2 linked regions of the Rattus norvegicus genome follow. The main gene of each other region encodes a partner of the protein of the gene in region 2 in a complex. Links are inferred from orthologs where the notes say so. Each region holds a gene or a part of one and is shown on either strand. Other genes may lie near its edges.

Region 1 (3,651 bases), on a different chromosome or scaffold from region 2:
TATACTGAGATAATTTAGTTGTTTATATATTTTCCTCATATTTAAATTTCTTATGTTTGAAAATAAGAGAATGTTCACCTGACAGTTTGCATCTGAAATTATAGAGTAACATACCCTGCACATAACATATATCACAAATATTGGCAGTATCTTGAAATAGGAAGCCTGAACTGAAAGGAAGCAGACATTCCTAAGAGGTCCCACAGACCCTGGTGTGTCTTGTAACCAATGAGATAAAACAAGTCCACCAAGCTCTTTTGCCAGAGTGAAGTGGCTGAAGGAGTATGTATTCCATCCCATGCTCTTTAGGAAATTCTCAGCCCCTAGCACGGACACCGTGCTGCTGAAGAACTCAGATTCGTCTCTCAGCTTGTAGGACCAGTCTCACACACTTGGAATGGCTACTAGAAAAAGGAATCTCCAAGGAGCAGGACTTCAAAGTACATGTCATGTAGCTCTCAATTAACCTAGTGCCAACTGGTTGGCGTCTTGGAAGACAGGCTCAGAGAAACTGAGATACGGTGTTGAAAAAGAAGGGTACTTTTGATGTGTAATAAATCAGCAAATGAAAAAGACTGTACTCATGAGCTCACTTTATTTGTTTATGTCATGAATGTGTACTGAGCATCTCTGCTAGGCACTGAGCACAAAGCACTTGGTAGAACACACGTGTTCTGTGGTCTCATGCAATGCCAGCCTTAGTAAAATCCATGCTAAACGAATGTGCACTAATTGGTTCCAGAACTGCATTGGTACATAGTCCTTTTTACCCTAGAATAACGTCTGTGTGCTTTTATGTAGATGGGTTGTGAGACACATCAAGGGCTGATAGGAACCGTCTCACTTTTTGACATTTTCACTTTTAATTATCTCGCCTTAGTTTACATGTGTATATATGTACATATTTTATTATTAGGACATACATGGGACACATATAAAGTATATTTAGGAACATATAGAATAAGCAGCGCAGTAAAGGTAAAGTTGGGCAGAACTTGACTATAGGAATACTTTCAATGAAATATTTGTGTTTAAATGTGTATAATAATCATTTACTCATGACGTACACAGTAGGTGTATATAGCTTCTGTTAGTTTACATCCTTCCTGTCTGTTGGGACATTAAAGCAAGTGAAATTCGCTTGAGCATTATAACATTCCAGGATGAATTATTAATACTAGAGAATTTTATTCTTCTTTTATATCTCTATGGCTAAAGATATATACTTTTTTCATCATTTCTTTATTATCTTCTTAGAAATATCAGGTGGTATAATTCAATTCATTACATACATTTTTTATTTATGTTCAGATTTGTGCTTAAATATGGTGGGTTATAAAGACACAAATTAGTTATGTTCTTGTGGAACAAGTCATAGTCTGAAGACTGACAACAAATTTTCTTTCATATATGCTCATGGCTGCTGTAATAGTAATATTAATAAATGCACATCATGTAATATAATATACAATGTAAATGACTGAGCTTTTATAAATAAACTACACATGAATTGTTATATTTGAGAATTTAGGTTAGAGAGCTTTATTTCTATCTATTTCAATTATTATTTGTTTTAGAACATAAGTGACAAATATTAATAAATAGCATTTTCTAACTTTTTCACACTCTATTTAAATAAAATGACCTTAATTACATTTGCCTTCAAAAGGCTTCTTGAAATCATGATGTTGGATTGAATAATATTAATGATAGAAAATTTGTATGACTTGCAATTTGTTTACTCCTTTGCATTTTTAGATTTGAGAAATGTGTGAGTGACAAAGAAGCCTTGGAGGCCGATTTGTATCAAAGATTTATCTTGGTGCTGAATGAGAAGAAAACAAAAATCCGAAGCTTGTTGAGTGAAGTCCAGCAGCTGGAGAAGAGTACCAAACCTGAAAGGTAGCAACCGCTTGCCCTTGGCTAAGAGAGGTGTAAATCTCAGGAGAATGTCTTTACAGACTTGCAGCATTAGGTGTCTACTTTTAGTAATGTGCATTTTTTTGGTAGTGGGTTTAGACATTCTAGCTCGGATGAGTATATTCTCCACACAATTTCTCCATGTCATTCCATGGTTTAATTTGAAGTATAGCATATGTCATAGCATATAAAACATATTTGTTTAATTCTGAAAGATTTAACTATTTAATTTATTTATTTAATTTTAGACATTATGAAGTAAGAAATATATCAGTTAACAAAACTTTTCACCTCTTCCAAGGCTGCAAGTTGTTTGTACATCTATAATCTTAGCATCTAAGCAATGTTGGCTTTTGATCCAGCTAGTAAAAGTTAAATCCTGTGGTACATTTACATTGTCTGGTGGAAGTATGTTATTTTTTCCTATTGTTGTCAAGTTGTTATTGATGTTCTCTCCTTCCTTAAAGTGTGTGTACAATTGATTCCTAAGGTGGGGGGAATTATAGGTTACAATTGGTTAGTATAGGTTTGGGTAATTTCACATGTTTTTCGTCATTAACTCATACAGACTAGGTCCTGTTGCCTTGGATCTGAAAAGCATAGGTTTTTCATGACATAGTATGAAGAAAATAACATTGAATTCTAGCTTTTCCTATGTCTGGTACAGAGTCCTACTTGCACGTGGTACTAAACATTGTGCCTCTGTTCCTCGTTTGGGGGGCAATTTAATCAAGTGCAGAACTGCTGTCAAGTCATTACAATGCTGAGCACTGCCCCTTAGGTAACTAGGTGGACTAGTGTTTAAATAAATGAATAAAACATGATAAACTAATTCAGTAATTAATAGGGACCTTTAACCACCATTCCGTTTACTAAGATAACACTTCTCTTTTAAGAGACTTAGTCTTTCATTGATTTCATCTAAATTGCATAATTTACTTTGTCTGAGCAGAACTTTTTTTCTAGGAATGTTTTTCTGTATTTTCTTATTGGTTAAGTAGATCGTTAGCCAGAATCAATCGATAATTTCCAGTTCCGCCTTTCTCTCTTTCCAGGGAAACTCCGAGTTCTGACAAAATACCTGAGGAGGATGGGCTTTATGATGGCAGCACTGATGAAGAAAGCGGAGCCCCTGTGCTGGGCGCAGGTAAGAGGGCCGGACCCCCTAAGGGTTCCTATGTCATAAGACACCAAATTGAAAAAATATATGAGAAAAGGTTTCCATAAAATTGATCAAAAATTTTACCCTAAAACTTTAAGAACATTACATTAAAATGTACAGTAGACTGTAGCAGTTATAACAGCAAGGCACACAAGCAAGCATATATCCGTTCACTAGGAATGTACCTTGGCTGTTACATGGCACTCATGAACAAGAAGGCAGATGCATCTTATGTTAGTATCACCAGCTCAGAACTGCAGGGCTTTCGTATCAGACATCTCATGGAGCTGGGTCAATAGATGGAACAGGATGAGGCCTAATCTTCTTTTGTTCTTCAGAAAAGAGCTTGCTACAGAGTAAAAGGGGACAGGGATAACAGATGTGTAGTTGTACCATTTTTCAGGCATTTTTTATCTTACTGTTCTTTTGCTAGTACATTATGGTTTCAGATTTTGTGTTTTTATTGGTTTCATTTGTGTTTGTATGTGTGTGTGTGTGTGTGTGTATGTGTATGTGTGTTTGTATGAGTATGTGTGTATGTGTGTGTGAGTGTGTGTGTATGTGTATGT
Region 2 (3,651 bases):
TGCTAGAGGTCCAGGGCTACATTCTAACCGAGTGCCAGCCCAGGCCGCCTGTCCAGACACCTGATGTGTCTGGCAGTGTGGAGGGTGGGGCTTGACACTGGAACAGAAGGTGCAGTCTTTGAACAGCACTGACTTTCAGAGCTTGCTGCTCTTGAGAAAGATCTGTGTCCTTTATCTGCAAACAAAGGTTAATTGTACCCAGCTCTCAAAGTCTCCAGATGTTAAATTAGGTAAAGTTGGAAGGGTGCCCAGTACAGTAGGACTAATTGTGTCCATGAAGAGGGAAGGTCCCTGCTGAGCTGTTCACCTGTCTTCAGGTGTGGGCACTTGAAGGTGCTTTGGTTCTGGGGCAGTGACTAGCCAGCGCTCACTGTTGGTTGGGAATGAAATGAAGGTGCATTACACGGTGACTCGACTCAACGCCTTCATTGCTTTCAAAGGTCCCATTCAAATGTCAGCTCTGCATAGCCTCTCCTGGGAGATCCTAGCTCCCTAGGACCAGGGACATTGTAACCTTTTGGTTTTGTCAGTGACAGCCATGGAGGCATTCCCTCAGCTGGTCACTGAGGAGACACCCTGAGCACCCCTAACCTTGTGCAGGCCACACCCAAGTGTGGCAGCAGCTTCATCTCAGTGGCGACCTGGCCCAGGCACTGGACTTCCCAAAGGCACAGCCATGTTCACTGCAGTGGGCAGGTGGGCAGCTAGCTGTGAGCATGTGCAGTGTCCACGCCCTCAAGGCCTTCCTAGGGAGCAAGGTCCTATCCAAAGGTACATGCGGAATCTGTTTCACATGAGTGCCTAGGCCAGTTAGCACCAGTACAAAACCCAAGGAAAACAGGCAGGTCCCATAACCACATTCCTTACAAATGGAAAAGGGAGGCTCCAAGTGTGCTGGCAGCATTCCAAAGATGGAGAAGTAGCAGATACCCACATGTGAGGAAGGCAGGAGTGCCCCAATGTGTTGGGAGTTGTACAGGGGGTGGGGCCGAGCCTAGCTCCAGACACCCCAGAACCCTGGAGAGGACAAGCCAGGGCCAGGCTTCATGCGGTGGCACAGAAGATGGTCCTCTGCAGACCCACACCCCTGCCCCAGAGAGCTCTGGGGCACCAGGCCCTGGTTCCTATCTCATGGAGCTGTCAGATGAGACATCTCGATCGGAGTCCTCAGTCTCGCTTGGCGGCGGCGGCGGGTCGCTAAGCGGGACCGCAGTGAAAGCAGGAGACTTTCTAGAAAGAAATACCAGTTGTCACCTTGGGGCAAAGCAGGAAAGCTCCTGAGACTTCCAAACTTGCTTTCTCTGGCCTTATCTTTTGAGGTACAGGGGGATGACAGGCAAGGACGGGGGAGGGAAGGAAAACTTGTTTTCAACTTGATGGGAGGAACAGTTTCGCTCTTTGGGACTCAGAGATCAGAAAAGTCTGAAGTCACAGCATGGAGATGTTCCCTGAGCCACACTAAGGCCCTAGCTTCTTATCCAGCAATAATTCGGTGTGCGGGGGGCTGTGGGGACTGTAGGAGGTGAGACTGGGGGAGTATGGGGGTTTAGGGGGCTGTTTCACTCTGTTGTCACTGCTGACCCCAAATTCCTGGGTGCAAGCAATCCTCTTGCCTTCAGTTGATTTTCTTTTTTTTTTTAATTTATTTTATTTATATGAGTACACTGTAACTGTTTTCAGACATACCAGAAGAGGGCATCAGATCCCATTACAGATGGTTGTGAGCCACCATGTGGTTGCTGGGAATTGAACTCAGGACCTCTGGAAGAGCAGTCAGTGCTCTTAACCGCTGAGCCATCTCTCCAGCCCCTCTTGCCTTCAAAGTGGCTGGGGTGGCCACAAACCCAGTTAGCGTGCTCACCATACAATGCAATTTGGGGGGTCGGGTTGGGTTGGGTTTTTTGTTCTCTTTGAGATGAGTCAGTTTGCATTCCTGCCTGGCCTTGAACTCCTCACAGAGGCGAGGCTGGTCTAGTACTTGTGGCAATTCACCTGCCCGTTGCTTCTGTGCATCTGAATGATAGGTATGCGCTCATAAGCCTGACTTAACTGCCATTCCTTGGATTTTTGTTTGTTGTTGTTGCTGTTTGGTTTGTGTGGGACAAGGTTTTACTGCTGTCCAGAACAGCCTAAAACTCATGACAATCCTTCTGCCTCCGCCTTCCAAGACTGAGACTGCAGACATGTACCGCTAGGCCTGGTTTAGAGATTTCTAAAAAAATCTTAGTGTGTGTGTGTGTGTCTGTGTGTGTGTGTGTGTGTGTCTGTGTGTGTGTGTGTGTGTGTCTGTGTGTGTCTGTGTGTGTCTGTGTGTGTGCTAGACAGGCTAGACAAGGACTCTACCACTGAGCTATATTCCAAAACCCCAGATTTACTCTTAAACAAGGTCAAACAGCTAAACTGTGATTTGGATTTGGATAATCCTGTCCCTCTATTTCTTTGCTCCTTGCCAGGTTTGGGCTCTCAGACCCTCAGAGTTGGGCACTAGTCGGTTTCATCTGACGGCCAAGGCAGGGAGAGGAAGCTTCATTCTAGGCCACACCTACAGGGACTCCCAAGGACAGCTGGACATAAAGATGTGACCTGGTCACTCCCACAGGCCACTGGGGCCTGTCCAGCCTTCTTCCCTGGGAGACAGCCACGCCACTCAGGGCGGCCCTTACCGGTCTCCGGACTGTGTGATAAGGCGGCGGCAGGTCTCCATCTGCACGTCCAGCCCCCGCTTCATGCTGCACATCTCCATGTACTCATGCAGGTGGCGGTTCATGTCGCTCTTGGCCGTGGCCAGCTCCAGCTGCGGTGAGGTGGGGTCAGGGAGGGCCAAGCAGCTCAGAAAACAAGCAAGCTTCCATCGCCTGCTTCCCCGGGATATGGAAGTGGGGGAGGGGCGGCAGCAACTGGCGCTCTAACTTCAGGCCCTCACTCTGGCGAGGCAAGGGCTCAGGACGGTGCCCCACACTCAAGCCTTTCTGGGAATCTACTCCTACTGCTACCCAAGAATCAGCCAGATGTCTGAGTTCTCTGTAAAAGCATGGTGGGTGGGGGAGCACAGCCTTCACTCCAGCACTCAGGCTGAGGCAGGAGAGTCATGACAGTAAATCTTAAACCTGGTCTCAAAAAGGGGGAAGGAGGGCACGCCAAAGGGCTCAGTGGATAAGGTACCTGCCACATCTGCCAATCTGCATTTGATGCCAGGGACCCACATAGAAGAAGGAGAAAACCAACTCCAAATTGTTCTCTGACCTCCACACCTGCACCATGGCATGTGCACACACACTTGTGCGCACACGCAAATGTACAGACACACACACACACACATACACGCGTGCGCACACACACACGCACACACAAATGTACAGACACACTCACTCACACATACACGCGCGCACACACACGCGCACACACACGCGCACACACACATGCATACACACATGCATACACACACACACACACACACACACACACACACACACACACACACACAGAGGCTCAGACTGTAGCTCGGCTGGCAGAGGGCTTGCCTAGCCTGCAACGGAACCATACTTTGATCCCTAGCATCCCGTAAGCTGGACCTAGTAACACACATCTGTAATCCCAGCACTAATCAGAAGTTGCAGGTAAGTCTGTTCTAAAGCAAGTTTGAGGCCAGTG

The links.
Region 1: the proteins of Iffo1 (region 2) and Xrcc4 are in contact, whole or in part, in a crystal structure (PDB 6ABO), measured with the Homo sapiens proteins. The link is inferred for Rattus norvegicus from reciprocal best matches to the Homo sapiens genes IFFO1 and XRCC4. Residues at the interface, in NP_001317253.1 of Homo sapiens: Arg469, Glu470, Tyr473, Ile477, Gln479, Ile480, Glu481, Glu483, Leu484, Ala487, Lys488, Asp490, Met491, Arg493, His494, Leu495, Tyr498, Met501, Lys505, Leu508, Asp509, Met512, Cys515, Arg516, Leu518, Ile519, Thr520, Gln521; in NP_001304941.1 of Homo sapiens: Trp155, Val158, Gln159, Phe162, Glu163, Cys165, Val166, Lys169, Glu170, Glu173, Leu176, Tyr177, Phe180, Val183, Leu184, Lys187, Lys188, Lys190, Ile191, Leu194, His195, Lys197, Leu198, Ala201, Ala202, Arg205, Glu212.

Annotation. Positions count from the first base shown.
Region 1 is NC_086020.1:22,814,187-22,817,837, reverse strand, and holds part of Xrcc4 (DNA repair protein XRCC4), read left to right. Parts: intron 1-1,758; coding exon 1,759-1,902; intron 1,903-2,975; coding exon 2,976-3,067; intron 3,068-3,651.
Region 2 is NC_086022.1:159,644,840-159,648,490, reverse strand, and holds part of Iffo1 (non-homologous end joining factor IFFO1), read right to left. Parts: intron 2,795-3,651; coding exon 2,664-2,794; intron 1,231-2,663; coding exon 1,178-1,230; coding exon of another isoform or gene 1,125-1,177; exon of another isoform or gene 684-1,124; coding exon 631-683; 3' UTR 1-630. UniProt on the Homo sapiens protein: Nuclear matrix protein involved in the immobilization of broken DNA ends and the suppression of chromosome translocation during DNA double-strand breaks (DSBs).